2 linked regions of the Caenorhabditis elegans genome follow. The protein of the gene in region 1 interacts with the protein of each later gene in a pairwise test. Each region holds a gene or a part of one and is shown on either strand. Other genes may lie near its edges. The genes, in order: hrpu-2 and F47B8.3.

The links.
Region 2: the proteins of hrpu-2 (region 1) and F47B8.3 interact in a two-hybrid assay, tested with the Caenorhabditis elegans proteins (one large-scale study listed by BioGRID).

Annotation. Positions count from the first base shown.
Region 1 is NC_003282.8:2,170,230-2,186,199, forward strand, and holds the start of hrpu-2 (RRM domain-containing protein), read left to right. Parts: upstream 1-7,666; 5' UTR 7,667-7,700; coding exon 7,701-7,802; intron 7,803-7,847; coding exon 7,848-7,909; intron 7,910-7,960; coding exon 7,961-8,081; intron 8,082-8,132; coding exon 8,133-8,174; intron 8,175-9,162; coding exon 9,163-9,484; intron 9,485-10,847; coding exon 10,848-10,964; intron 10,965-11,850; coding exon 11,851-12,313; intron 12,314-14,202; coding exon 14,203-14,378; intron 14,379-15,970. Other genes in the region: C54E4.1 (uncharacterized protein), read left to right, coding at 5,377-5,560, 5,689-5,781, 6,148-6,371, 7,114-7,350.
Region 2 is NC_003283.11:14,317,050-14,332,015, forward strand, and holds F47B8.3 (Glutaredoxin domain-containing protein), read right to left. Parts: upstream 5,955-14,966; 5' UTR 5,828-5,954; coding exon 5,727-5,827; intron 5,280-5,726; coding exon 5,021-5,279; intron 4,975-5,020; coding exon 4,801-4,974; intron 4,751-4,800; coding exon 4,430-4,750; 3' UTR 4,318-4,429; downstream 1-4,317. Other genes in the region: F47B8.13 (Skin secretory protein xP2-like), read right to left, coding at 1,912-2,682; F47B8.14 (Skin secretory protein xP2-like), read left to right, coding at 3,497-4,264; F47B8.4 (Glutaredoxin domain-containing protein), read right to left, coding at 6,558-6,878, 6,923-7,102, 7,148-7,400, 7,445-7,539; F47B8.18 (Skin secretory protein xP2-like), read right to left, coding at 7,774-8,415; F47B8.5 (Methyltransferase FkbM domain-containing protein), read right to left, coding at 8,771-9,058, 9,103-9,173, 9,218-9,368, 9,432-9,509, 10,012-10,131, 10,430-10,564, 10,664-10,774; pepm-1 (Aminopeptidase N-like N-terminal domain-containing protein), read left to right, coding at 12,117-12,327, 12,500-12,804, 12,851-12,967; F47B8.8 (Aminopeptidase N-like N-terminal domain-containing protein), read left to right, coding at 14,694-14,904.

The sequences.
Region 1 (15,970 bases):
CGGAAATGTTCAAATTTGAGCAAAGTAGGTCATGATTATACTTAAATTGAAGCTCTCTGTGAGCTAAATTCAAATATTTCTAAATAAATTTTTTAACATTTTTTTCCAGATTGTTCCTGTCCGAAATTTATCGAAACCTATTCCGCCGAAGGCTCTTTTAGTATTGATCTCTATGCGACACTGGGCCCCGTTGAACATATCGACTACAGTAACCAATGTAGTGACGTCACTGTAACCTGCACATCTTACTCATCCACGTGGAATTCCAATGCGTGGGCGGTGTATAATGGAACGATGACGTCATTGTTGAGTATGACGTCACGGGTTTGGTGTGAAGGAGACACGTGGCATGTAGAGATGAAGAAGAGTGGAGAGACGCAGATTTGGAGTGATATATCGGTGTATTGCCAGTCATATCGATTTAGATAAATGATACTTGAAAACTTTTTTTATAGCTAAAATTTTTTATACAAATTTTTTGAAATTTTGTTTTTGATCTAAATTTTTTTCATTGCTCATTTTTCTTTAAATCTATTTTAAAATTTAAATTCAGCGTGTTCTCAGCTTCAATTTAAGCCTAATCATGATCTGCCTTGCTAAAATTTGAAAATTTTCGGGTCCCGCCACGAAAACCTAGCCGATTTCGTGATGGGACCCAAAAGTTCGAATCGGAGGGAATACAAGCATGATTATACGTAAATGAAAACTAGAAATACACTAAATTCAACATTTTATATTATTTCTAGTTAAAATTGAATTTAATTACTTTACGTGCTAAAAAATGTTCAAAAAAGATTCTGAAAAATTCGAAAATTTTGAACTTTTTCTATTTTTTATCTATCAAAAGTTTTCATGTTTTCTACTCAAATGGAGTATAATAATGTCCATATTTGCTGAAATTTTTTAGAATTTTTGGGTCCCACCACGAAAATCCCCCTGGGTACTGTAGTTTCCGTGGCTGGACCCAGAATTGGAGCAACCTAGTCATGATTATATATATATATATAATTAAAGCTCTTGATGAGCTGAATAAAAATCGTTATGCTGAGAACAAAAACCCTGCGCAAAAACCCATTTGACCTCTGCGTGATAATTCCTTTGATTTCAGTATAATCACGACTATTTATATTCCCTCCTATTTCGATTTTTGGGTCCTGCGATTAAATCTGCCAGTGGTACTGTATGTTTTCGTGGCGGGACCCGAAAATTTTTTATGTGGATGGCTTTACGCATGATTATACTTAATTTAAAGCTTAAGACGCTGCGAAAAAATTAAATTCGATAGATAAAAGTTAGAAAAAGTTCGAAATTTTTGAATTTTTAAAACTAAAAAAAAACATTTTGAAAATTTTTTAAGACTAGAAATAATATAAAATTTGGAATTCAGTGTATTTCTAGCTTTTATTTAAGTATAATCACGACAATATATCCCCTCTAATTTCAATTTTAAATTCCGCCAAGAAGTCTCCCGAGGTATTGTAGTTTTCGTGTTGGGACCCAAATTTGTTCCATATTCGTCACGTTTATGCTTAAATCAAAGCTAGAAGCAAGCTGAATTCAATTTTCATATTCTTAAAGTTTAGAGACAGGTGGTTTTTAAATTTTCAGGGTATAAAACTTCTGCTCCCCGCAAAAAAAGTTTGTTACCCAGTCAAAGAGAAAATCTTTTTATTTTTCATTTCCGGTGGGCCTTCTTCTCTTTTTTTTAATTCTACTCTGAAAAAAAAAATGCAAATGCACATTCGTTTTCCAATTTGTGTCCCCCTTTATAAACATGTGTGAGAAAATGCGTATTTGTGCTCCATGAGCAAGAATATTATCGACTTTTTCATATTTCAAATGATAGGAATGAGGAGGATTACCTTAAGCCGCTTTAATGTGGTGTTCCGTTTTATGATTTGTCAAGTGGAGCTTTACGGAAAAAAATGTTTTTTTTTGGATTTCCAGGCCACCACGTATTGTGTGGTGGCCTACTTTTATTTTATTTTAATGGAGAAATAAATTTGAATTATGGTGGCTTTTTCAGAATTTAAAAGTGCCGATTTTCAGCCGATTTTTTTGCATTTTAAATTGGTGGCCTAGAAAACCAAATTCTAGATTTTCTAGGCCACAGTGTTCCCAGGTTGTAGAACCAATTGGGTCAAGCTAGGGACACATTTTAAAATTTCAAAAATGTTTTTTTATGATACCTTAATGTCGGTGGCCGAACTTATTGGTTTCTAGGCCATCAACTTAAAAATAGAATAACTCTTTTCACTTATTAGTTTTTGATGAATTAAAAATTACTGTAGCTATGAAAATTCCTTTATCATTTTCTGAGATCATTTTTTAGGTCATGGCCTAACTTTGGTTTTCTAGGCCATCAACTTGAATTTTGGAAAAGCAAATTCAGTGGCCGAAGTTATGGGCCACCAAAAACTTGCACAACTTGCATAAAACATTTTAATATGATTCAAAGACCAAATTTGTCCACAAAACAATTTTAAGTCACGGTTTAAAGTTGGTTTTCTAGGCCACCAAATTTTAAAAAAATCAGTGGTAAAAAAAAATGTTTTCTAGGCCATCAATATAACCATCGTAACTATGCTTTAAATCAATTATTTTTAATTTTGCAAACTGGGAACAATTTTCATGGCCTAACTTTTCACATTTCTATACCACCAACTTTCTTTTTGTGGCCTAAAATGTTAGGGGGTTTCTAGGCCACGAACCCTGGTAAAAATGCTCATTTGTGAGCCAATTTAGTAGAGATTAAGCGTGCTTGTTTCAATTTTACATTAGGCCAGATGCAAATCTTGTTTTCTCCGTGGCCGTGCCCTTTTCTGAATGCTCTGCCGACGGAGCACACATACACAAAAGAGCACAAGACCTAGGCCAAATTGAGTTGAGCTTTGAGCTCTTTATCTCTTTTTTGGAGCACACACACACACACACATCTAATTTGAAGTGCTTGTAAATGTTAGGTGAATCTTTGTTTCTTTTTTTTTTTTGAGATTTTTTTTTGCTTCATTTCGAATTATTTTTTAAATATGTTTCTCGTTCAATCGGGAGAGTAATATTTTTAAAATCTATTGCATTTTTCAATTTTTAAAAATGTTAGTTTTCCACCAAGTTACACCCATTTAAAGTTGATGGCCTAGAAATCCGAATTTGGAATTTTCTAGGCCACCGAATTTAATATAATCAATTTGTATAATATTTTCGCAGTGTTCCAAATATTTTTTTTTAGAATTCGAATATATTAATTTTGAAGCAAGTCATGAGCAATTTAAGTTGGTGGCCTAAAAATCCAAAAATTTCTAGGCCACCGAAATAAAAACAGTAAATTTTATAGTCCACAGAGCTTTGCGTATTCTGTATGTTCCAGTTTTCAAAATTCAAAAATAATAGTTTCTCGACAAGTTATAGCGATTTAGAGTTGGCGGCCTAGAAAAAAGTAAGGCCACCATTTTTTTTTCGCCAAACCTTGGCAAAAACCGTTATTTTTTTCCTTTTAGAACATCTTTAGAAAATCTGTTTCTTCGAATATTGATGTTGGTGGCCTAGTTTTTCACATTTTGGTTTTCTAGGCCACTTTGTTCGTGGCCTAGAAAGCCAAGTCTTCAAAAATTAGACAAAACGAATAATGCTTTTTTCAGACATTGAAGATTTTGATTTTGAAGAGAGTTTTAACGATTTTCTGTTCATGGCCTAGAAATTTTAACTGGGAAAGTTAGGCCATCAACTTAAAATTGCTATAACTTTGAGGAAAATCCAAAATTTTAAATTCTGAAAACTAAGTCACGGACCGTCTGCTCTTCAAGTTTTGAAGTTGGTGGCCTAGAAATCCAAAATTTGGGTTTCTAGGCCACCAAACTCCACATGCCGAAACTTGGCTCCAAATTCGAGTTTTTGAAATTGTGAACCTCCACCAATATAAGAAATTTGTACGCTGTAAGCTCTACAATTAGTTTCGAGGGTGGTGGCCTAGAAATCCAAAATTTGGTTTTCTAGGCCACCAACTTTAAACCGTCGTAACTTGGCTCAAACTCGATGTTTTTTGCATCTGTAAACAGCAAAAACCTTGTTTTCAAGTTTTCAAGAAAACCTCTATACTACTGAAGCCTCTTTTTTGTATCAAATTTCATTTTGTGATTCTTTTCTTGCTCCAGTCTCCGGCTTTTTTCAACTTTTTTCACACATTCTTCTTCAGTTTTTTGTGCCATTTTTCTCCTTTTTTGCCTATTGTCCTGAAAAAAGAAGGATGAACCCCACGAGATAAAATAATTATCCCCTCTTCCCCTTGCGGTGAGCACTGGCTCAGCTCCCTATCCGATTTCAAAATTTTTCAACAATTTTTCCTTTTCATTTCTTCTTCCTGCTTATCTCCTTGCATTTTTGATTAATTTTTCTCGAAAAATTGACCTGAAACGCCATTTTTTAGTTGGTGGCCTAGAAATCCAAAGGTTGATTTTCTAGGCCATCAGTCTTAATAATCTAGTTTTGCGGCTTCAACTCCCAGAAATCCAAGTAGATTTTTGAAACTCAAATTTATTGATTTTGAAGCAAGTTACAAGCAGTGAAAGTTGGTGGCCTAGAAACCCAAATTTCGGATTTCTAGGCCACAAATTTCACAATTTGTAGAATAATTGGTAGCTAGTATTTCACAGTTTTAAAAAACGGCAATATTGAAGTGAGTTATGACAGTTTTAAGGCCATGGCCGAACTTTTTCCAGTGGATTTCTAGGCCGCCAACAGGCCAACACAAAATCGGTAAAACTCGGTTCAAAATTACAATTTTCATATCATAAAACGAAATTTGAAATGCTGAGAGATTTAGCTACTAAAATACTACATTAAAGTTGGTGGCCTAGAAAAATCGCATTTTGGATTTCTAGACCATCAACTTTAAATTCTTGTAACTGGCTGCAAACACAACATTTTCGAGTTCTGAGAAGATATTTGGAATAGGGAAAACCTACGAAACGTCTTTTTTTTTTAACTTGCCTTGATTTTCTACCCCTAGAATTCCTAGGTGGCCTAGAAATCCAAACTTTGGAATTCTAGGCCACTACATTCCCAGTTTGTAGAGCAACTTTTAACTAACTAGCAACACGTCTTAAACTTTAGAAATGCTAATTTAAAGCAAATTATGATACATTAAAGTCGGTGGCCGAACTTTTGGGTTTCTAGGCCATCAACTTAAAATTAGCATAACTCTCTTCAAACTTATCAGTTTTTTATAAACAAAAAACTGATTTTTATGTGAATATACGTTCTATTATCTCCCACAACAAAATGTTATGCTATGGCCTAACTTTGGCTTTCTAGGCCATCAATTTAACATTCCCATAACTCTGCTCAAAGTGCACATTTTTCAGTTTTTGAAAAGCCAAAATGGGCGGCTCACAATCTACAACAAGCTCTCGAGCCGCAAAATTCAGCGGAACCAATAGTGCGAACCGCCGGAGCGTCCGAGCAGTCCGAAGTGCTCCGGCCACTGAGCTCAACGCGCGGCGTGCCACTTCGTGTCGGAATACCAACAGGAATGTCAAGGAATTTTCAAAGTTTTGGAGTGATGGTAAATAACTTTTTTTTGTCTTTAAAAAAATTGAGCTTTGAGGAAAAAAAATTTTAAAGAAAATTTTTTTTTCTGAAAATTCTAAATTTTTATGTTTTTTTTTCGAATAACTTTTTTAAAAATTTTAGCGGGCTCTATAAATAGATCAAAATCGTCCAATAGAGCATCAATGAAGCAGAAGCAGAATGGAAACGGAAGCATACGCCGAAACCGAACACAGTGTGAGCTTTATAACTGAAATATCTCAAAATCTGGAATAGCTGTCGAAAAGTTTTTAACTAGTAAATTGTAGAGCTCTTTGTGCTTAACAAATTCTCAGATGGCAACTTTTTGGTATCATTTTGCTCCGCGGAGTTATAGCCGTTTAAAGGAGCATTGGAGATTGGAGCAGCTGGCTTTAAAGCTTGATAACTCTTCCAATAAAAGTGTTATCAAAAAGTTGTCAACTAACCATTTGTAGGGAATTCTTAGCTGAACAAATTATTAATTGACAATTTTTTCATATCACCTTGCTCCGCGGAGCTAGGATGCTCAGAAGAGATCCCGTAATCCTTGGAGGCTCGCCTCTAAATTTAAAATTTTTCCAGCCGTAGACGTCCGCCGAGCATCAAACTGTCTCCCGGTCCCCGGTACCCCGTCAACTATCCCGAATCCACAATTAACTCAGCGAAGAGCCACAAGTTTCCGAAGCAATGGTTCTTCCACGTCATCAACGCTTACTGTGAACGGAGAGGGGAGGAAGTCGAGGAAGGGGAGCACTACGGAGCTGCTCACACCGAATTCTGCACGATCTGATATTTATTCAATAGAGGTACGGTGGACGGTCACGAGGGTTTTTGAATTTTGGAAAAATATTGATTTTGAAGAGAGTTATGAAGGTTTGAAGTTGGTGGCCGAACTTTGAGTTTCTAGGCCACCAATTTTTGATGTTGTAGAACTAGCATAATCAAGTTTGTTCCCAATTTCAAAAACTCTCAAAATTACGCCAAGTGATGCAAATTTTAAGTTGGTGGCCTAGAATTCACAAATTTCGGATTTCTAGGCCACCACCTTCAAATTGGCATAACTTGGCGGAGAATTGAGTTTTTTTTTTGAAATTTAAAAACTGGAACAAACTTGCAAAAATGTGTTTTACAATGTCGTCAAATCTGGTGGCCTGGAAACCCAATATGAAAAAGTTAGGCCACCAATTTCAAACTTCGTAATTTGTTTCAACAGTGATTTTTTTGTTGAAAATTCAAAAATCACCACCGTAAAACTCTTTATTTCGGCAGCATTGAACTAAGAACAATGGCCTAGTTTTCCAAAAACTTGGTTTTCTAGGCCATCAACTTCAAGCCGTTGTAACTTGGCTCAAACCCCATATTTTTTGAGATTTTCAAAAGCTATTGTTTTCATAAAACGTTGAAAATTAGAGGGGTGGCCTAGAATTTTAACTTGTAGGTTTTCTAGGCCACCAAAGCATTTTTCAATTTTATCGATATTTTTGCGCAAAAAAACGAATTTTAACTCGAGTTTTCTCAAAAAAATCAATAAATAATCGATTTTTGCAGTTCAACCAAGCGGCGATCGCTGCCGCTCGTCTGAAACGCCTCTCGCTGACACCGTACCCGGACCCCCAGCTGCCGCGTCTCTCCCCATTACAACAACAACAGCCACATCATCGATCGAATTCCACAAAGAAGAGTGTGACGTCATCCGTCAGCCCAAAACCGCGCACACAACAGCCACGTGGCAAAAGCAACAGCAGCAACAATCATCTAAAATCTCCAGAAACTGCGATTTATTAATGAAGATTTTATATATATATATAAAAAACGATAAAATTTTGAATTTAACTTTTTTTTCATTCAGGTTTTCAGGGGAAATCTGCAAAATTCACCGAAAAAAACTTTTAAAATTTGAAATTCGCGGTGTAATGCATTAATGCACCGGGAATGCGCCAAGGCCTCTTGCTGGCGCACTCGAGGATCACCGCGCGCACGAGAAACGCGCAAACAAAAAACGCAGTGTTTTTCGCGTTTTTCATCGATTTTCCATCGTTTCTCCTCGTTTTTTTCTCATGTTTTCTTCTTTTTTTCTTCTTTTTTCATTAAATTTATTGATTTTCAGCGTAATTTCAACGAGTTACTCAATAAAAATGACCGACGAGACTGAAAATGTGCCGAAAACCGAGCAGGAGGTCCCAAATGACCCGGAGTCTGAAAAGGAAGTGAAAGAAGATGCAAAGGAGGAGGTAAAGGTACGTTTTTCTTGGGTTTTTTACTTAAAATATTTATAATTTCAGGATCTAATCCCCGAATTCTACTCTCAACACGGCGGAGACCCACGTTTGATCGATATCGCCGCGTAATGATGCAAAATCGGCCGAATTTTTCCAAAAAACTTTGATTTTTTCAGGTCTGTCTGGCTTTCTGGCATCCCAACTGACTTCATCACGGATACCTATGAGCAATTCTGCGAGACCATCAAGAATATCATGAAAATGGGTCATAAGCTCGATGTTTCCACGGTTTCAAAGGTAAAATCGGCGAGAAAAATGGGTTTTTTGAATTAAAAATTGCGGTTTCAGATCGTCCGAATTCCGAATCTGGACAGCAACGCCAAGAATTCGGTATTTTATACTATTAATAAGAATTTTCAGACAAAAAACAAGCATAAAATGCGTTTTAGGCAGTGCTTTTCAAGAAAATGCGCGATTTTCAAGTGGAAAATGCTTGTGTTGAGCTCAATTTATCGAAAATTACGTGGAAATCCAAGAATTTAGGCTAAAAGTGGCTCGAAAATCAAGCTTTCGAGTCGAAATTTCAAGAAAGTGCAGAGAAAGAGAGAGAAATTCACCTTTTTCGGAGGATTTTTCACAAAAATTCTGCCTTCTGAGCCAAAATTAGTTCTGAATTCAAATTTTTTTTTTTGATGATTTTTCACTCGACGTGGGGGGAAAAGCTTAAAATTCAAGTTTTTAAGCTTTAAATAACCTTCTAGATTACATTTTAAAGGGGATTTTCACGGAAAAAGAACGATTTCTCACAATAAAACTGGAGTTTATAGCAGAATTTGGATAGGAAACGCTTGAAAGTCAAGTTTTTAAGCTCAAATTTCAAGAAAATAGACTCAAAATTTAAATTTTCGTCGGTTTTTCCCAGAAAATCCAGTTATTCGTGCCGGAAATGGCCTAAAATTCAAAAAAAAAACTGGAAATTCATAATTTCTGACGAAAAATTGCGATTTTCGAGCCAAAACTCGTCCCATTTCAGCCGACAATGGCTCAAAACTCGAGTTTTAAGCCTAAAATTACAGTTTTTAAGGGATTTTCACAAAAAATTCCAGGGTTTGCAGCCGAAAATAGCTCAAAACTCAAGATTTTAAGGGTTATGGTTATCACTTCCAAAATAGCCTGAAAATTAACGTTTTCAAGCCAAAATTCAAGTTTTTAGGCGATGATTTTTCACAAGAAAACCTCAAAATTCAAGTTTTTAATGGTATTTCAATTCAAAAAAGAGCTGAAAATGCACAGAAATTTCTGCCGAGAAATTGTGAAAATTTTCAAGCCAAATCTTCTCTCCAATATCTCCTCATCCATATGTGGCTTCATATTACAGGAACATGCTCTGCGAGCGCTAATCTGTTTCTCAGACAAGAAGCACATTTATCGAATGATGACACGTGAAGCCGAGTTTGCGAAAGAAGAAATGAAAGTGGAATTGATTGAAGAATTGCCGTCAGACGCGTTGGAAATCAGTGAAGACGATAAATGTCTGCTTTTGAACGGACTTGTCGAAGCTGAAGACGCTGGAGATGATGTTGATGTTGGTGGTGGAGATGACGATGAAATTGATGAATTAATGGATCATGATGATGAAGGAGGGCATGATGAACATGAAGAAGATGAAGAAAGTGATGTTAAAAAGGAGGAGGAAAAAGGTTCGCAGAAGCAGCAGCTGGAAAAATGCATTTTTTGGAGGGATTTTGACCCAGAAATGGGGGTTTTCGGTGAAAAATGACCCCGGAATGCTCTCAAAACTAGAAAAACATCAAGTTTTTGCGGTTTTCATACCTCAGAAGTGAGCATTTTGGCTTGAGAAAACCATCCGTGCGCGGTTTTGTTACCTAAATCAGCAGCAACAACTGGAAAAATGCAGTTTTTGGAGGAATTTTGAGACCCGGACACTTGAAAATCACTCAGAAATGGGGATTTTTGGTTGAAAATGCTCTCAGATGATTTTCATTGCTAAAAAATGCCTCAGAAATGAGCATTTTGGCAGAAGAAAACCATCAGCGCGCGGCTTTGCACGGTTTTGACGCCAAAATCGGCTATTTTTTTTTGGTTTTCCAACTTAAAATCGCATTGAGTGGTCGTTTTAATCATTTTTTTTGGGGATTACTGGACATCGGTCACAATTTGTCTCCCTGAAGAAGAAAAAAGTGGTTTTGGCACCTAAAATCACTCAGAAATGGGTATTTTTCAAGCTAAAAACCGATAATTTCGACTTTTGGCTCCGAATATGCATTTTTCGGAGGGATTTTGGCTCGAAAATCACCCGGAAATGGGGGTTTTCGGTGGAAAAAGACCCCAGAATGCTTTCAAAACTAGAAAAAGACATCAAGTTTTTGCGGTTTTCATGCCTCAGAAATGAGCATTTTGGCTTGAGAAAACCATCAGCGTGCGGCTTGTTTTTGCCACCTAAAACCACCCAGAAATGAGGTATTTTTGGTGAAAAAAGACCTCAGGATGCGCTAAAAACTAGAAAATATCAAGTTTTCATGGTTTTCGTAGCTGAAAAATGCCTTAGAAATGAGGATTTTAGCAGAAAAAAACCATGAGCGCGGTTTTGTACTACGGTTTTTGGCACTAAATCGGCTATTTTTTGGGTTTTGAACCTAAAATCGTCGTTTTTAGAGAGAGAAAACCATAAAATGGTTTTAAAATTTCTTTTTAAACCATTTTTTGGAGATTCATCACAATTCGCCTCTGAAGCAGTCGATTTTTTGATTTTGGCATCTAAAATCACTCAGAAAAGGGCGTTTCGGGCTAAAAAGTCGATAATTCGAATTTTGGCGCCGAATATCACTCAGAAATGGGTATTTTGGTCCAGAATGGCTTTCAGAAGGTATTTTTGCTCCGAACAGAGAGAAGCGACGCAGAATTTCTCAAATTTGTGGTTTTAGCGCCCGAAATCATTCCGAAAAATCATGAATGCCATCAAAAATGAGCATTTTCGATGACAAGAATTTTGTCTTAAAAGCTCCAAATTCCAATGAAAATCATCAATTTTTCGTTTTTCAGGCAGCGAAAAGAAGGAGAAGAAGCCTGAGCCGCCAAAGAAGAAGGTTTACGAAGATGAAGATGAGAAGGCTCCGTTTGAAATGTATTGGGATGGAGCTCCGGAATTCCAGTGGAGATGTATGTGAAAATCCACAATTTTCACACTGAAAATTTTAACAATTTTCCTTTTTAAAATATAAAAAATCACGATTTTTCACTCAAAAACACCAAACAATCGTTATTTTTAACCCCTAAAACCACAAAATGACACAGTTGTCCTTTAAAAAGTTCGAAAAATCCCCCAAAAATTTCAATTTTTCTCTCAAAAACACCATATAATTCCGATTATTTTATTTTTAAAAACCCCCAAAAAAATCATAATTTTTGTTAAAATTCTGAAAAAAAAACACTGAAATTTAATAATTTTTATATAAAAACCTCTCAAAAAATTTCAATTTTTCTCTCAAAACCACCAAAAATACATCGTTTTTTTTTCCTAAAGCTTCAGCTCCAAAAACACTTCGATTTTCATTTAAAACCCTAAAAATTCCGATTGTTTACTTAAAAAAAAAACGGAAAAATATCGATTTTTAATTACAAACCTTCAGAAAAATTCTGATTTTTCACTTGAAAAAAAAACACCGAAATTTTATATTTTGATATAAAAACCTCAAAAAATTCCAATTTTTATTTAGAACCCTCAAAAATTCTGATTTTTTATTTAAAGACCTTGAAAATTCCGATTCTTCCCTGAAAAATCCCGATTTTTCACTCATAAAAACTCCAAAAAACCCGATTTTTCACTTAAAAAACTCCAAAAATCCCGATTTTTTACTCAAAAACTTCAGAAAACCCGATCTTTCACTCAAAAACTTTTTTAAAAAACCCGTTTTTCACTCAAAAACTTTGATTTTTCACTTAAAAACTTCAAAAAAATCCATTTTTTTCACTCAAAAACTCCAAAAAACCCAATTTTTCACTCAAAAACTCCAAAAACCCTCAAAACCTTTACCATGTTTTGCAGTATGCGAAGGACCACGCGACGAGAAAAAGCTGATAATCGATAATTTGTTGTGGGCCGATTTGAACAATGTCTTCATCTACCGTACAATTCAAAAATCGACAACGTGTGAAATCAACTTTCCGACTCGTTTCAATTCCGATGGAAATCGTACGTGTCACGGAAAACTGACACTCTTTTTCCCGGGAAATGTTGCAATTATGGATGAGGCACTGAAGCATTTGGTCTATTTCCGTAGTGGAGATGGAAGAAGAATTAAAGTTTTTCTGCCACAAACCACAGTTTCTTTGAAACGAAAAGAGGAATTCGAGGGAAAACTCGGAAGAGTTATTAAGCCGACCGAACGAATGATGCAGTTGATTGTGAAGATCCTTCCTGACGGTTATACTCCGACGCTGGATGAAGCTTGTGCTTGGTTCCCACTTCAAGCCGTTATTCAGTGTGATTTGGTTAATGATGAGATGGGGTGAGCAAGAGTTTTGTGGCTGAAAATAGCTTAAAATTGATTAAAAATAGCTGAAAATTCACTAAAACTAGCTTAAAATAGACGAAAAATAGCTTTAAAATTCACTAAAATAGCTTAAAATTGACTGAAAATAGCTTAAACTTGACTGAACATTCAAAAAAAAATAGCTTAAAATTTAAGAAAATTGTCTGAAAGTAGCTGAAAATAGACTAAAAATAGCTTAAAATTGACTGAAAATAGCTGAAAATTCACTAAAACTAGCTTAAAATAGACTAAAAATAGCTTAAAATTCACTAAAATAGCTTTAAATTGACTGAAAATAGCTTAAACTTGACTGAAAATTCACTAAAATAGCTTAAAATTTAAAAAAAATTGACTGAAAGTAGCTGAAAATAGACCAAAATATCCTGAAAATAGACTAAAAATAGTTTTAAATTGATTGAAAATAGCATAAAATTCACTAAAATTAGCCTAAAATAGAATAAAAATAGCCCAAAATTCACTAAAAATAGCTGAAAATAGACTGAAAATTGCTTTAAAAATTACTGAAATCGCAGAAAATAAGATAAAATTTACTTTGAAAAAACGGTGTAATTCGCTTAAAAATTTATGGAAAAAGCGTAAATTTTCTTGAAAATTGCTAAGAATGAAAGGAGGAAAATGACAATTAATAGCTGAAATTTGAGAGAATTAACTGAATTTCTATTCAATTCTCAAGTTTTTCAATGAAATCTCACAAAAAATTTGAAAATCATCTGAAATTCTGCAAAAAAAAAGTAGAATAAACTGTGAAAAATCTGCTGAAAATTCATCATTTTACTTAAAGGAGGACTAACGGTTCGGACGATTTCGAACGTATAGACCCAAAATGAGCTCAAATGAATGAATTTCGTAATGAAACTGCTCAAAAATTTTTCAAAAATTTTTTATGGCGGTTCAAAATTTGGAAAAAATTACACGGATTTTAGCTAAAATCACGATTTTTTCCCATTTTTCCGTGTCACATCTGTTCGAAGTTGGATTTTTTGGAATTATCATCCTTTATTGCATATATTATTTGGTAGTTTATCTTATTTAATTTCGTTGATTAAGGTACATTTAAAGCCGATAGGTAGCCAAAAATCATCGAAATTGGTTACCTATCGGCTTTAAATGTACCTTAATCGACGAAATTAAATGAGATTAATCACCAATATATGTAATAAAAGGACGATAATTCCAAAAAATTCAACTTCGAACAGATGTGACACGAAAAAACGAGAAAAATTCATGATTTTAGCTAAAATCAGTGTAATTTTTTCCAAATTTTGAACCGCCATAAAAAATTTTTGAAAAATTTTTGAGCAGTTTCATTACGAAATTCATTCATTTGAGCTCATTTTGGGTCTATACGTTCGAAATCGTCCGAACCGTTAGTCCTCCTTTAAGTAAAATGATGAATTTTCAGCAGATTTTTCACAGTTTATTCTACTTTTTTTTTGCAGAATTTCAGATGATTTTCAATTTTTTGTGAGATTTCATTGAAAAACTTGAGAATTGAATAGAAATTCAGTTAATTCTCTCAAATTTCAGCTATTAATTGTCATTTTCCTCCTTTCATTCTTAGCAATTTTCAAGAAAATTTACGCTTTTTCCATAAATTTTTAAGCGAATTACACCGTTTTTTCAAAGTAAATTTTATCTTATTTTCTGCGATTTCAGTAATTTTTAAAGCAATTTTCAGTAAATTTTAAGCTATTTTAGTGAATTTTAAGCAATTTTCAGTCTATTTTCAGCTATTTTTGGTGAATTTTGGGCTATTTTTATTCTATTTTAGGCTTCGAAATCGTCCGAACCGTTAGTCCTTTAAAATTCAATACTTTTTTCCAATAAATTTTCCAATTTTTCAGAAATCCGTGTGCAGTTGTAAAATTCGAGACAGCCGAAGAAGCTGTGGCCGCTCACGCTGGAAAATCCTTTGTGACAATTGTCCAAAAATCGATGATAACTGTAAAGGATTCGGAAGGAAATGAGAAAGAAGAAGAGAAAGAGACGGAGACACACTGCAATGTTTTCATGAGAGGAGGTATAATAATGGGGTTTTAGACGGAAAATTGACGATTTTTGGGTCTGAAAATGTGAAAACTGGCCGCGGGAAACGCATTTTTCAACCAAAAAATCATGAAATTTGAGCTAAAATATCACAATTTATGATTAAAAAAGGTAAAAAACACGTATTTTATTGTAAAAATATCTGAAAATCTCAAATTTCAGCCAAATTTTGACCCAAAACTTGTGTATTTTGAAGATTTTTGCTCTAAAAATCGAAAATATACTGAAATTATATTTCTTCTGCACAGTTTTCTCTAAAACAACGAGAAATTAATGCATTTTTTACCCGAAAATCGAGTTTTTAAAGTTATAATTGCTTTTTTTTGTGATTTTTGACAATTTTTTCGACTGAAATGCACGAATTTTGTCTGGAACTACATTATTTTCCACTAAAAATCGTCAAAAATTAAACGAATTTGGCTGAAAATTGAGCAATTTCAGCTGAAAATCGCTTTAAAATCTCAGCTTTGACGATTTTGTTTTGGAATTCCAAAAAATCTAATTTTTCTCAACGTTTTCCTCAAAATTTAACATTTTTCGAGGATGTTCGCTCGAAAAATTGACCGAAATTGAACGAATTTGATGAAAAATTTGCAAATTTCAGCTTAAAATCGTTTGAATTCCTCAGATTTTTGCCGTTTTTTGTCTGAAATTTATGAATTTTGGCTCGAAATTCATTATTCTCCAGTAAAAATCCCCAAAAATTGGCAAGTTTTGCTGAAAAATTCTCTCAAAAAATTTATAAAATCATTCGAAATTCAGCTTTTTTTAATCAAAAAATTGTCTAAAATTGGGCAATTCTAGCCCAAAATCGCTAAAAAATTTCAGTTTTGACGATTTTTCTTCTGGAATTTCGAGAATTTTAATATTTTCTCTTCCCATTCTTCTTCCTGCTGCTGCTGACGATTTATTTATTATTGGAAAAAATTGTTGAAATTGGAAAAATTTTTTCCTCTGCGATAACATTTAAACAGGTGGCCGGGGGCATATTGGTTTGAGTCAATATCAGAACAAAACTTTTTTTTCAATTTTATTTGTTCATTTGCTCACTCCCCCGCATACTGTCTATATATTGGTACACAATTGTCAATTTTTGGGCTCATTTTTCACATTTTCCGATTGAAAATGTCATATTTTCGACTTTAAAACTGGAAAATTCTTGAATTTTTGAAACACTGAAATTCACATTTTTCTGTTAAAAAAAATCAAATTTTCAGCTCAAAAACTTAAAAATCGTTTACCTTAAAACATTACCTTAAACATTACCTCAAAACCTTAAACATAGTTTTTTTTGTTGCTGAAAGTTGGAAAATTGGTGATTTTTCACTTTTTCTGTTAAAAAACAAATTTGCCACTTAAAAAAGTTTTCACCAATTTCCCGCAATTTTGGCTTAAAGGTGGAGTACCGAAATTTGAGACTCTGCTTTTTTTAGACCGAAATTGGTCCAAAACTACCGAATTTCGTAATGAGACGTTCTGAAAATTGTTCAAAAAAAAGTTGTGGCGGTTCAAAGTTCGGCAAAATAAGGCCCATTTTCAGCTAAATCAAAAATTTTTCCAACTTCT
Region 2 (14,966 bases), on another chromosome or scaffold:
GATTTCAAAAACTCTGGTTCAACACCTTTGCCATTTATCGACTGAAACTTCGAGAATTACCAATTGCAAACACTTCTGGCCTCTCACAGCTTTGAAAATTGCCTATTGTTAAAGTATTCAATTGTAGCTCAACAACTGGCAAAAAAATAAGCTATTTAGCAAACAACTCTCAGCTCTAGTCAACACGATGTACCCTTATCGGAACGCTAGCAAAAATTTAAAATCATAAAAGTGAGCAATACATATGTGTGGTGTGAAGTAAAAAAGACAAAAAATGGATAGAGGGTGGGTTTTGGAGGACTTAGTTGGGAAAACAGAGGGGTGTGACCTAGAGATAGTGGGACACAGACCACAAAGAAATTTTCGGAGTAAACACTTTCTGTTGACCACCACGTCATGGGAGAGAACAGTTGAACACCAAGGTTTTTCAATGGGAATCTTTTAAAATAGTTGAAAATTGAGATGATATAGAAGATGCTTTGGGGATAGCGAAACAAAAATTCAGAATAAATAGGAATGATTTTTCGTAATTTTATAGTCATTTTGTTTATTGGTAGTTTTGTTTTTCATTTATTTCATAACAGTGCAAAATGTGACTCATGACGTGTTTAGCATTATGTTCATGAAATATAAAATCATTGATGAAAAAGTTCAAAACGCACTAGTACTGCAAAATGTTTAAAATTCTGGAATATCAACTTTTCGAATTCAAAATTAATTGTTTTTGAGTTAACGGGTTAACTGATTTCCTAGGCTGTTATCGCATATTTATACAAAAAAGAGTCTGCGCGTTGTTGCTATGGAAACTGATTTTTGTTCTGTTTATCAGAATAGAAAGGATTATAGAGCATAGTGTGGCTGATACAAAATACGAAAACAAAAATAGGAGTTGAACATTCAGTTGAATGACTCGACTGTTTGTTTGCAAAAGAAAGTGCAAATCTTTGGCGCTGATCTATTATGAAATATTGAACACGGGAAACCAGAAAATAAATGAGATTTACAAGTTTGTGGGTTTTGTTGGGTTTATATGAAATCACAAAAATAGGTTGAAATCCTTAACTATCAAAAAGCCTGTGATCAAAGTATTCAGCCCACTTATAAACATCTCAAAAACGAAAAAGTAAATAAGATGAAGCGGAAGAGTGTGGGAGACACCCGCATTGATAATGTTGTGATCAGGATAATTAATTATCAAACTTAATAACTTGTAAGTTAAGTTGCATTAAAAAACAGTATTGTATCTCTCCGCCTACCAAAAAAAGTACAAAAACTACTACTGTTTAACCCTCTTATTGCCCAATTTCACTGCAAAAAATTATCTTGGCTCCGTAATTGCTACTTGGGGAACATGGGAAAAATTGTTTGAAGTTGCCGCACTTTTACGGCTTATATCTCGACTGTGTTGAGTGTTAACAAAACATTTCCATCTGTCAAAATGTTGAGGAATACTTTGCACGTATGCATTTTGTTAGTTGGCAATTTTGCATAGTACTGCAGACAATCGAGACATGAGCTGTCAAACTATAACAAGGGAGGGCAAATCTAGTTGGAAAATCCGGTAATATGAATTAGAATTTGAGAGTGGGTAAGAAATTGGTGGGAAAAAGCTTGAAACTGAAAACAATATTGAAATTGATGTTTGAGGTTGTACTCCTTTGAAGAAAGATGCAAACAAGAAAAACAACATGCATTTGGTCTATGAACCTCTCCGTCTTCCCTCCGCCTCTTTTATTTCCCTTCACCATTTTTTTTGCAACAAAGCGCATTTGGACTAAAACTATCCGATCTTGGGCAATGTTAAAAAGATAGTGTTTCAAAAATCAAACGTTTATTCAATTGAAACCGTAAAAAAACAAAAACCAGTTAGAGTTGGAAAGATCGGGGTAAAGTTGAAAAAAAAAACAGATTTTAGACAACGAGACGAGAGAATCTCATAATTTTCTTGGCTGGATAAGATCCACCACCTCCGGCTGGGGCAGCAGCACCAGACGAATAACCACCGGCGTCTGACGCTGGTGCTGGGGCAGGTGCTGGAGCGGTTTCAGGTGCTAGTGCAGCTTCGGGTGCTGGAGCTGGGGCTGGAGCTGGTTCTGGAGCAGGTTCTGCTGGAGCAGCTGGAGCGGCACCTCCTTCAGCATAATCACGAGCAACTCTTCTCTTTTTGGCTGGATAAGATGCACCACCGGCTGGAGCAGCGGCGCCAGCGGAGTAACTTGCGCCATCGGCTGCTGGAGCGGCGTCAGGTGATGGGGCTAGAGCTGGTTCTGCTACTGGGGCTGGTGCTGGAGCGGCTTCAGGTTCTGGAGCTGGAGCTGGGACTGGTTCTGCTGGAGCAGTTGGAGCAGCACCTCCTTCAGCATAATCACGAGCAACTCTTCTCTTTTTGGTTGGATAAGATCCACCACCGGCTGGAGCAGCTGCAGCGGCATATCCTCCGGCGTCGGCTGCTGGTGCTGGGACGGCTTCTGGTGCTGGTGCTGGAGCTGGTTCTGGAGCCGGAGCTGGAGCTGCATCTGCAGGTGGAGGAGGTGGTGGAGCTTCTACCCCAGCTCCTCCAGAATATCCAGCTTCTCCTCCTCCTCCTCCTCCTCCTCCTCCTCCTCCTCCTCCACCGCTGGCATAATCACAACTGATCGAGCAGACCATAGCAGACAAAGTCACAATAAGAAACAGCTTCATTTCTGAAAAATTCGAAGTGAAAGTTTTGAAAACTTCAGTGAAACTCACTTTGATGTGAAGAAATAGGAAGATGGAGAATGTAATGATACTTTTCAATTTCAACTTCCAACTTTTATACCGGGCAGCTGAAGAGAATGCGGAACACCTAAAACTAGTTCCTAGGGAAAAGCCAGTAGCTGCAAAAATAGAAAAAAACAACATCAATCTCAAATTTAACAAAAGGAATACAAAGAGAGAAAACACATTGTAAAATAACCGTGCTTTGTGAAACGAAAAACAAAACAAATTGAAAGATTGTGATATTGTAACTGTAACGGTTTTGCAGAAAGAGGATAATCGGATTTGAACAGATGCCTGTTTTAAAAATTGCATTTTTGTAATTATTAATACTGACCAGTCATTTTTAGGGTGTTTATAAACAATCTATGCTATGAAAAATATAATTTCCTGGTAGTCAAAAGTAGAGAAATGGATTGGCCAAATCTGACCTCACTTAAATTTTTGGAATTTTAATGAGGCATTGGCGACAGTCCCGTTGGTAATCTCCTTAATTTATTTCAATGCGGATTTCCAAATGTACTTTGAAAATATATTTTTTTAAATTCTCTTGGTAATTTATTTATTTTTCAGCTTCATCTGTTTTTGTTTTAAACTAATAGTTTCTCACTTTCATTTTCACAACAAAATCAAGTTTTGATTAGAAAGAGAAGTAGTATATAAACAGAAAAGACATCGAGAACGGCATCACTTCACCTTCTAATTCCAAGTGAGTTGGGACTTTTCAGATTATTCAACTAAATATTAATTTCCAGATATGAATCTCTTTTTGATCTTCGCTGCTTCTACTTTAATTTTCTCTGCTCACTGTCAGTATTCAAGTGGCGGAGGAGGTGGTGGTTACTCAGGTGGTGGAGGTGGTGGAGGAGACGCTGCTCCACCTCCTCCTCCACCTGCCGATGCCGCACCAGCTCCAGCCCCAGCTCCGGAACCAGAAGCCGCCCCTGCAGCACCAGCAGCCGATGCCGGAGGTTATGCCGCTGCTGCATCAGCCGGCGGTGGATCATATCCAGCCAAGAAGAGAAGAGTTGCTCGTGACTATGCTGAAGGAGGAGCTGCTCCAGCTGCTCCAGCAGAACCCGCTTCAGCTCCAGCTCCAGCACCCGAAGCGGCTCCAGCACCAGAACCAACGCCAGCTCCAGCTCCAGAAGCCGCTCCAGCTCCGGCACCAGATGCCGCTCCAACAGCCCCAGCAGCAGGCGCAGGTGGATATTCCGCCGGCGCAGATGCTCCAACTGGTGGTGGATCTTATCCATCCAAGAAGAGAAGAGTTGCTCGTGATTATGCTGAAGAAGGTGCCGCTCCAGCTGCGCCAGCAGAACCCGCCCCAGTTCCTGCACCAGAACCAGCACCAGAAGCCGCTCCAGCACCAGCACCAGAAGCCGCTCCAGTTCCGGCACAAGATGCCGCTCCAGCAGCCCCAGCAGCAGACGCAGGTGGATATTCCGCCGGCGCAGCTGCTCCAGCTGCTGACGGATCTTACCCGACTAAGAAAATGATGAGATTTTCTCGTCTCGTTATTTAACTGACACTTTTTTATATCCCCATGTATCTCTCTCACTGTAACCGGTTCATAATTTTTACGGTTTTTAATAACTTCATTTCATTAATAAATAGATTCATCATGTGAGTTTTACGAGGTATTCGGAGTAAATGAGGTTTGTAAAAAGATCAGGTAGAAAATAGTGATTCAATTCATTGTGTAGACCTTGGGAAGCTTCGGAAGCAAATTTTCTAGATTTGACAATGGTTCAAAAGCTCCATCAACGAACAGCTGAGGGAAGGTTTCACAATCTGATAATGCTTTTGAAATAAATCGAATTTCAGAATCTGTGGAAACATCAAATATAGTGTAATCTATTTGATTATCACTGAGTGATTGTATTGTAGATAGAGTTTGCTCATCCTCAAGATAATTTACAAAAAGAAGAACTGGTTTCCGGAAGATTTTGTAAATTTTAGCTTGACCATTCTCCATTTTTGAATTATCATTTCGAATTTCACTTTCTTCCTGAAAACATAACTTTTAAAATTGTACATGAATTTCAGTTCAGAACAAACCTCCCTTTGAGCTGTTTGTTTTGTCAATTGATCTGGAAAATTTGTGGCTTTTCTGCTAACGGGTAGTTTTTCTGGATTTGCAGTGTCTTCTTCCAAAGTTTCAAAAGTTGGAACATCAAATGGGTTAAGCTTGTTAATTAGTTTCTCAACTTTTTGAATTGAGAAATTGTCTCTCTGGAAATTTAATGATTGAAAATTTTAAGAGAATGTTTTAACTTACCTCTAGTTCATTTATTTCCAAAACGATCAGATTCAAAATATCGTCGAACTTGTCCAATTTTCTTTTTGCTAGCTGTGAATTTTGCAATTCAATGTACTCCGAAGCCACGTTTCTGAGGTCTTCAATCCTATTCTGAACAACTGTTACAATGATCTTCAATGCTTTCAGGTCATTCACAAATTTGTCTTCATTGGAATCCCAAAATTTGAAGACACTTTGAAACTGGAGAAATTGAATTCGCATTTGGATCATTGCATCTCTGAAAAAAATTTAAATTTGTTCAGTGTCTAATTTCATATTTTAATAAAAATTATGGTTTCCGCAAGTTTTCGCAATTCAAAATCGATTAATTATGAATGTGAGCAAATCTTGAATTTCACAAATGTTCCGCGTTTTTCAACGGAAAAATTACGGTTTCAGGCAAAATTTGTATGCTAAAATGAAATATTTTATCGAAAAATACAAAACATAAAATTAGGAGTGGAATTGAAATATTCAACTGAAATTTCGGAATCAAATTTCTTGGTTATAATTTGAAAATTTGGACTTACAATTAATACCTAATTGAATTTTTCTTATTCCACCTCAGAATTTCAGCTAAAAGAGCCTTTTCTAATCTGAAACTTACTGTCTGAACATCTTAAAAAATTTAAATTATTTCGCAACCGTCACTAGTTTTTCATGTTTTAGGGAACGTTTCTCTCACCTCAAAACTGTGAGTTTCACACCTAAATCCTCTTCACCAGCTTCACTTTCCAATTCGGGTTTCAGTTTCTCCGGAGACTTTCCAAAAACTCCGCGCATCATCGTTTCCTAGAAGGACGAAGCAAAAGAAAGAAAAAATTAAAATTGGTTGGCGAAGAATAACTAGTTCGAGAAAAAAGCAAACATATAAATAGTGTAAGAGAACGGAGACGCAGTGTTTCATAGTCAAGGCTTTTTCTCTGTTTCTCTTCGATTTATATGGTGCATCGGTGAGGAACAGGAGGATGGCAGAGAGGCTAGAGATGCCATGTGAGAGGGATACCAGGGTTCTCTGTTCTCAGATATGACCAAAAAGTCAGAAAGAGAATTTTAAGAAAAATGAGATATAAAATTACTGTTTCAATGGCTTTTTAAGCACAGCTCAAAAATGGAGGATTTTTTCAAAAAAAATCTTTCAAACGCCAAAATGTTCCACAAGTTTGTCTACATGATTCCTATTGAGGAAATCTCATATCCAAACTCTGGAAAAAGTTCAAGCAGCTGATATCTCGCGAGTCATTATTTGACAATTATTTTTGAAACTTAAGAATAGTTTTTTTTAAGAGTAGAGTTGCTTTAATAAAGCACAAATAAAAACGTTCTAACTACATTTTTACGTACGTCCTTTCGGAAAATCTTGCAGAATTAACGAAAAACTAAAATCGATGAAATTCGATAGCAAATCATATGAATGAATAGTTTTTAAATATCATTATTTTTGAAAAAATTTATTTTAAATTGATAATAAAAAATAAACAATACATATACATATAGCTTAGAAATTGTGTGATGCTCAATTCATTGTGTAGACCTTGGGAAGCTTCGGAAGAAGATTTTTCAGAATTGGCAATGGCTCAAAAGCTCCATCAACGAACAGCTGAGGGAAGGTTTCACAATCTGATAATGCTTTTGAAATAAATCGAATTTCAGAATCTGTGGAAACATCAAATATAGTGTATTCAATTTGATTATCATTGAGTGATTGTATTGTAGATAAAGTTTGCTCATCCTCAAGATAATTCACGAAAAGAACAACCGATTTTCGGAAGATTTTGTAAATTTTAGCTTGACCACTCATCATTCTACAATTATCCATTCTGATCTCATTTTCTTCCTGTAACATAATTTTGTAGCAAACTGTAAGAGATTTAAACTCACTTCGAGTTGAAAAGTCTCCCTTTGCGTTTTAATTTCTAGTTTTTCAGGAATATTTCCCATTGATGAAACTTGAGTATTCAGTTCTAATACGACGCCTTGAATATTTTCGTAAATTGGCACGTCGAATGGATTGAGATTGTTGATTAGTTTCTCTACCTTCTCGATGAAAAAATTTTGGCCCTGAAATTCTATTCTTAAATTTCTAAAAAAATAAAAAAACATTACTTTTGCTTTGCTTATTTCGAATGCTATTTTATTCAATGTATACTCAAAGCTATCAATAATTGTCTTCAACATCTGGAGGTTCTTGATTTTGAAATATTCTCCAACTATCAGCTTTATATCGTCAATTTGGTTTTGAACGACTATAATTATAACATTGAGTGACTTCTTTTCGTGCTCAATTTTGGCTTTATTCTGATGATAGAAAATACTTTGAAAATGTAGAAACTGAACTCGTAATTGAATCATTGCATCTCTGAAAATGTGCTTTCTGGTGAACGCAATATGTTTCCTATATACCTTAAAACTGTAAGTTTGACACTGAAATCTTCCTCACTTGAATGCCAAGCAGCTTCATTGAATTCTTCTGAAGAGCTTTCAAGATAATTTCCCATTTCAGTTTAGTAGTTTTGAAGTAAACAACAAATGTGTTGAAATGGAACACAAAACAGTCAGTGTGCAGTATTCAAGTATTCAACTGATAAGAGTATCACCTGGTCGAGCAGCAAAAAGTAAACAGCACATGCGAAATGATAGAAACATTTTATTAAAAGTTGATGTCATTTGAACCGTAAATGAAAATGAACCAGTTGGTAAAAGCAAGATCGAAAATGTAGAATAAAAAGTTTTCAAAAAACGAGACGGGAGAAGCGCATCATTTTCTTGGCTGGATAAGATCCACCACCTCCAGCTGGAGCAGCAGCACCAGAGGAGTAACCACTGGCATCTGATTCTGGGGCTGCTGGAGCAGGTGCGGGGGCAGGAGCAACCTCAGGTACTGGAGCTGGTTCTGCTGGAGCGGCATCTGGTGCCGCAGCCGGAGCGGCTTCTGGTGCTGGTGCTGGTGCTGGAGCTGGCGCTGGTTCTGGTGCTGGAGCCGCTTCGGGTGCTGGTGCTGGAGCTGGAGCTGGAGCTGGGGCGGGTTCTGCTGGAGCAGCTGGAGCAGCTTCTCCTTCAGCATAATCACGAGCTACTCTTCTCTTCTTGGCTGGATAAGATCCGCCACCGGCGGGTGCAGCCGCAGCGGCATATCCTCCAGCGTCAGCTGATGGTGCAACAGGTGCGGCTTCTGGAGCTGGAGCTGGAGCTGGAACTGGTTCCGGAGCTGGTGGTGGAGCAGGGGCTGCATCGGCAGGTGGTGAAGATGGTGGTGCAGCTTCTCCTCCACCACCTCCACCACCTGAGTAACCACCACCTCCTCCGCCACTTGAATACTGACAGTGAGCAGAAAAGATTAAAGTAGAAACAGCGAAGATCAGAAGGAGATTCATACCTGGAAATTAATATTTAGTTAAATAATCTGGAAATCCCAACTCACTTGATGAGGAATTAGAAGGTGAAATGATGCCGTTCTCGATGATTTTCTGTTTATATACTGTTTCGCCTTCCAATAAGAACTTGATTTTGTTGTGAAAATGAAAGTGAGAAGTTGAAAATGTAATAAAATTGAAGAAGCTAAACAAGGAAAACAAACAAATCGCTTCAAAAATTATTGCAGGCTTTGTTAATTTTATTTTTGCAAAGACACTGAAAATTGAAGTTTTTTTTTTGAAAATTGTGAAAACAATATTAACTTAAAGATCTTCACGAATTGCAGGATTTTTTTAAACTATTTATTTGAAATTCCTAATATTTACGCCGACAAAAATCACTGTCAAAATTAAACATATACATTCTCATATGTATCACTTCTTCGGTTCGAAAGATTGCAAATCGTTCTTCCTTTATCAGTGTCTTCACGAAATGCATAAATCGTTCGTAGTGTAAATTATTAGGACCCGTTTCTGATAGATGAACTTCTAAATTAACTTGACAGAGTTCTATTCCATTTCTGTCAAAACTTCCGTCTTTCTCGAAAATTTCAAAAAGATCGTATTCGGCACCTTCGGAGTCCATCCACAAATTGTCAATTGTCTGAAATAATAGTTTTTGAAACTTAGAAAAGTTTAAAACCATACCTTCAATTTTAAAAGCCTTTCCACAAAATACATCATGTCTACATGAATAACACTTTGATTAAAATATTGCCCTGAAAATTTGAATAATCATCTCAAATTGTATTTCAAAACTTTCTATTTATCAAAACACTGGCCGTGGCATATCCTGGATTTTTAGCAACTGCAAATGGAAAATATTTTCCTATTTGTGGGTATAAATGTTCATTCACTTCAGTCATTGGGTCGGCACCGTAGAATTCGACGGTTTTTCCGAGTTTTCCCATTTTCTGCAATTTTGGCTCAATTTTCCAAAATATTTGTCAGTTTTTTTTTTTCAAATAAAAACACACCCTTTGCCATCTTTGCTCTCCAGTGATGTCTTTTCCAATTCCGATGGTTACAAATGTGTGTCTTTCATCATTCTGGAACTGAAATTAGTGTTATTGTTTTGTCTTGACACGCTCAAAAAGTACTTTACTGAACTGATTTATTTTGGAAATTTTTGTATATTTTTTCAATTTCTCTTTTTGACTTTTTATTTCCTTTGAAATTCATCAATTCCCATCTTACAGGAAATTCAATGTAACCAAAAAATCTTTTTTTTTTCAACTTTAAACTACAGTGTATTTTTTTTCTATACATTTTTAAAAGATGGCGAATTCATTTAAATAAATAAAGCTTCTCCAATTTCATAACTTCTCATTCACCTTTTCAAAATTTTCGATTCCTATAAATAATTTCCATTTCCCGCTTAAATCAGCCGTTGCTTTTTTCCTTCTGTTATAAGTTTTATGTTCCACGAAAAATGAGGCAAGCCTTAGAGATAACATCTCACTGTTTCAATGTTATCTGATCTGTTTTCTATGCACCTTAGCATAACCTGATTCCACGTGTTGTGATCATACGGTTTTTCAAAAAAATAAAACTCACATTTTTCGGCAAAATTGCAACTTTATCCTCATCCTTGTTTTTCAGAGTGATGAGGCCAAGCTTGTCGATTTCAGCGTCTTCGTCGCATTTTTTGGTTAACTTTGTAAATTGAGTCCAGAACTGAAAATAATTATTTGGAAAGTGAATTTAAAAATGACTACTGAAAATTGTTTTAGTAAGTTCACTGAAACATTTCAGAAAGTATTTCAAAATGTTTCATATTAAACTAAAAGTTAAAAAATGTAAAAAAATTGATTTTCTAGCTGAAAATTATTTTTAGTTATTTTTCAACTTTAATTTGGAACATTTTTAAAACTTACTGTATTTTTGAAACAGTTTCATAGATATCATTACAGATTTTTTGTTACTTTAAAAAAACTTTCACTATAGCCTTTTACTATAGACTATAGCCACATACCTGAACAGGATCATCAATAACCAAGAGGCTCCACTTTGCACAGTCCAGCCATTTCTTAAAAATTTCCTTCTTATTCGCGTCCATAAAAACTGTTTGAAGGTCTTCTTCGTCTGCGGCTTCTTCTCGAACATCTTCCTGAAAATTTCTATAAAGTTTCAATGTTGAACCGTTTAATTGATATTTAAAAAAATAAAAACTTTGTTGGAAGGCTCAAAAGTTTTGAAAGAATCTTACCAGATAAGCAATAAAAACTTTGTAACAAGCTAGAAATAATGTGAATAAGAGCAGAATTTTAACACATCGTTGAACTTTATTTTTCGTCGTTTTCATGAGAAACTGCGACATTTGGGAAAAAGATGTGTGGATAAGAATTCCGTTGCCAATTCCTACATATAAGCTATTGTATGGAGAACGGAAAAAGGGGTGGAGATTATAGGGGAAAACACATTCAATATTGATTCAACATTAGATTGAGAAGTTCAGGTGAACGAAAGAGATCAACAAGGAATATCAAAAGTTCGGATTATGTGTGTGCCATTTTCACGCCTTTTTTGGGACTTTTACAAAATTTTAAACAGAAATTGACATCCGGTTTTGGAAGATTTTTATAACCTGGAATTTTTTATCCTTATCGATCAAGAAATGCAATTCTACGGGACTGAATATAATGGAAAATACGCTGAAAGCATTTTCTTCAACAATTTCAGGGTAAATTTTATTCAGTTTCCTTGTCTCTCTTGTCTACTTTCTTAATGAAAAACAAATTTATTTTTTTGATCTTCAATTTTTTTTTAAATTTTAAAGGATATTTTATTAGCAGCCTCGCGATTGTTTTGGCAGTTTTTCGCGATTATATTCATGAAGGCGTAGGGAAGGTTACTGTGTATGAGAACCGTCTCTCAAGTCGTCATTGTTTAAGAACTGAATGATTTCTTGTCAGAAACTCAAAAAAATTAGAGTGGTATTTCACCCTACATTTGGTAAGTGAGAAAAACTTTATGTGGAGAGTACATCTTGTAAGGAAGCGTCGAATCCATTTTTAAAAATTATTCGATTTTTGATGTATTACAAAAAACATTTCGGTCAATCCTTTCAAAAGTTTGGCAATAAGCCGATCTGCAAAATTACAGCCTTGGGTAAGGACTTGTCGTAATCTTGGTAGACTACATAAAACTTTTTTTCAACGATGTGCCCATGCGCCCACCACTCTTCCGTATTTCTATTTAGTTTGAACATATAGAAAAAGATAATTGACGTATTAGATTTCTCTGATCTTTGTAAAAGATAATTTTTTCTCAATTAACAACATTGATGACGTCCATTAAATCCTTACAAAGTGTATGCGATATGTCGTTTGCTTTCCTTTTCAGGCTACATACGCTTTTTTTCGAGAGAAAGTTATCTAAACTGAATTGAAAAAATTAAAAGAAAGCTGTTTTCAAAAATTGAGTTTTCGCGATGTTTGCATTGTCAAAAATTCGAATGTCCAAAGTATTCAGTTATTATTGTTGTTTTTGGTATTGTTTTTGATTTACCAACAACCAAAAACCAAAACTGCCTGCAATCTTTTTCCATTTCTCTTATTTTGTTGCATTACCACCAACAAGTATTTCTCACACACATTTTCAATCGTAAACGCCTTCTCATTTCCATCTATTCTCATTTCAGTTTGACCTTACAACTAAAAATGTCAGAACTTCTTACTACGTACAGGCCAATTAAAATTCTTCTCCAACTTGATCCCAATCTGGGAAATAACTCATACAATGGTAGAGTAAAAATCGATTACGAGTTCACAGGAGAAACATCGGAGATCAAAATTCAAACATCTAGAGATTTTCAGTGGACTTCTGTCAGACTTGCCACGTTTTACGATTTCAATGAAGGATGTCCTGTGTGTAAGTTTTTAAACTTAAGTCTATTTAAAAGATTTGAATCAGTAAAATTTTGATTAATGTTGAGCAATCAACGTCCAAATAAAAAATGTTTTTAAGGCAGTCAACCTTTTTGGTAAATTGCCGAATTTTTCAAAAATGTGGACTTTTGTTTAAATATTTTTCCAAATTTCAGATGCAAGTGTTGATTGTGAAAACTATGTCCATGATGCCGAATCAGAGATACTGACTCTTCCATTGGGAAACCCCCTCACTCCTGAAACTACTGAAAATGGATTCTACATTGAATTAGAATGGACTGGACCTATAAATCCTCAGGGAGAAACTACTGGACTTTATGCAATTGATGAAAGTACTATTGAAGCAAATATGAAAGATGGGAATGCTCATAAAGTATTTCCATGTTATGAGGGAGGAGTTTCTGCAAAGTTCTGGCTGACTGTGATAACTGATGAAAGAACTAGAGTTGAAACTAATATGGTATGCTTTTGGAAAAGCAGAGTTTTGATTTTGATAAATGTTTCAGGATGACGCTGGGCACGAAGAATTCGAAGGAAGAGTGAAGAATAACTTTTTAAAAGAAGAAGAACTTACTATTGAAGATGTTTACATTTATGTCACACCAATTATCGATATGGAATAGTGTTTCCAATTTTTTTTGAACAATTAATTTACCGAATCAATGAATAAGTTTTTTTATTCATATATGTATGTGTTCCCTGGATGTTTCATAAGTATGACAAATTTACTAAATGTTCACGTGTGCTTGGGGGGTACGTATCAAGAAGTTGCTAGTTTCCGAAAATTTTTGGACTTGGCGTTTTTTTCTGATTTGTTAGGGGTCTCGAGTTAATCGTCCTATGTGGGTGAACTTCATAAAAATATTTTTTCTGCCTCTTCCTATATTAAATCCTGAAATTGCATTCTTGACAGAAATAAAAAATAAGGGCACGTTGTCGTAATGGGGTGTCCCGAGAAATGTGACTGCACTTTGAGAGCTTATATCTTGGCTTAGGGTTGGCGGTTTCTTGAGCAATTTGTTTCAATAGCTTATAAAAATAGCGCCTTCCATCGTCATCATTGTGGGGGAGCTTTTGGGAAGGCTAAAACACTGATTTGAGCGGAATTCTGGAGTATGGTCGAAATGGATGTATTCTTTGTACTGACGAATTTCATGTTTTTTCAGCCCCAAATCTTCAGTTTTTCTGACATTTGGTTCCAATTTGTGCGCAAGAGAGAACTTCGTATTTCCAATTTTTTGAAACTATTTTGAAAAAAATTGGCGCACTTTCCAAAATGTAGGCCATCATTCAATTTTTGCAAAATCAAAAAGATTGATTAAACGTGAAAAACTTTTCTACCACTCTCTCTCTTTCTCTATTTTTGGTGATGAATTCGATAATTTTCATTTCTTATTTTTAATAACGTGAGGAAAACTCAATTTTGAAGACTTTTCGAGATTTTTACTTTTTCCCTAATCTAATTGAGGGCCGCACTTTTTGAACATGTTGGCTACTTTTAACCTGACTTCCAGCAGGACAGGCTGGAGGCCTGCAATGCTATTGTATTTCACTCAAACCCAAAAATCAGGGATTAGGGCCACCTTCTTACTCTTTGAAACTTTAGGCCTTTTCTATCCCTACACCCAGCAGAGCAGGCTGGAGGCCTTCTCTGAGAGGTATGTTTCTATAACTACGTATGTTTTTGGAAAAGTAATGAAAAAGGTCACCTAGGTCAGTTAACCGGATTGAGGGCCAGAGGCCCGAATACACAAAACGTATTGGACAGCCGTTAAGCCTATACTGAGCCCAAAAACTCGAGTTGAGAGCCACAGGCCCGAATACACGAAGAAGTGTTGGAGATCCGTCAAGCCTATTCTTAGCATAATAATTCAGTTCGAGTGTCGCAAGCCCAAATAGACGCAGATGCGTTGGACAACTGTTAAGCCTATTTTAAGCAAAAAAATTTGAAAAAATTTTTATTTCTAAAATTAATATTAAACTAAATTTGGCCGGTCTTGACAAACTTCAGCACATTTACTTGGCATTTACTCAACACTTGACTAAACTTTAGCGAATAAAGCGAATTATTCTTGAGTTACTCTACGCCGAACTAAACTGCGAAGCCTAGCAACTCTCCGATTTGCTAGTCAAGATAAGTTTATAAATTCAAAACAATGGCATTGAAATGTTTTGTTTATTTTTTTTCTGATTTTCCGAGGAGAAAATATTTACAAATTCAATCGATGTTTTTTCATTTTTCTCTATCTCTTACGGGTGCACGTGTTCCTCCTACAAACCAGTTTTCACTCGTATCAAACTGTCGAGGCCGTCTCATTTCTGTCATTTATTCTCTGATTCTATTGAAATATGTCGGAACTTCTCACCACATATCGGCCGACTAGATACATGCTCCAACTCGATCCAAATATGGCAAACAAGACTTACTGCGGAAAAGTGAGAGTCGACTATGAATTCACTGCAGAAACTTCGGAAATCAAAATTCAAGCATCAAGGGATTTTCAATGGACTTCTATTAGGCTGATCAATTTTTACGCTGTATACCTGGAATGTCCCATTTGTAAGTTAATTTAAATTTTGAAACGGTTTTTTTTTTGGTTTTTTTCTCAATAGTAATTGTGC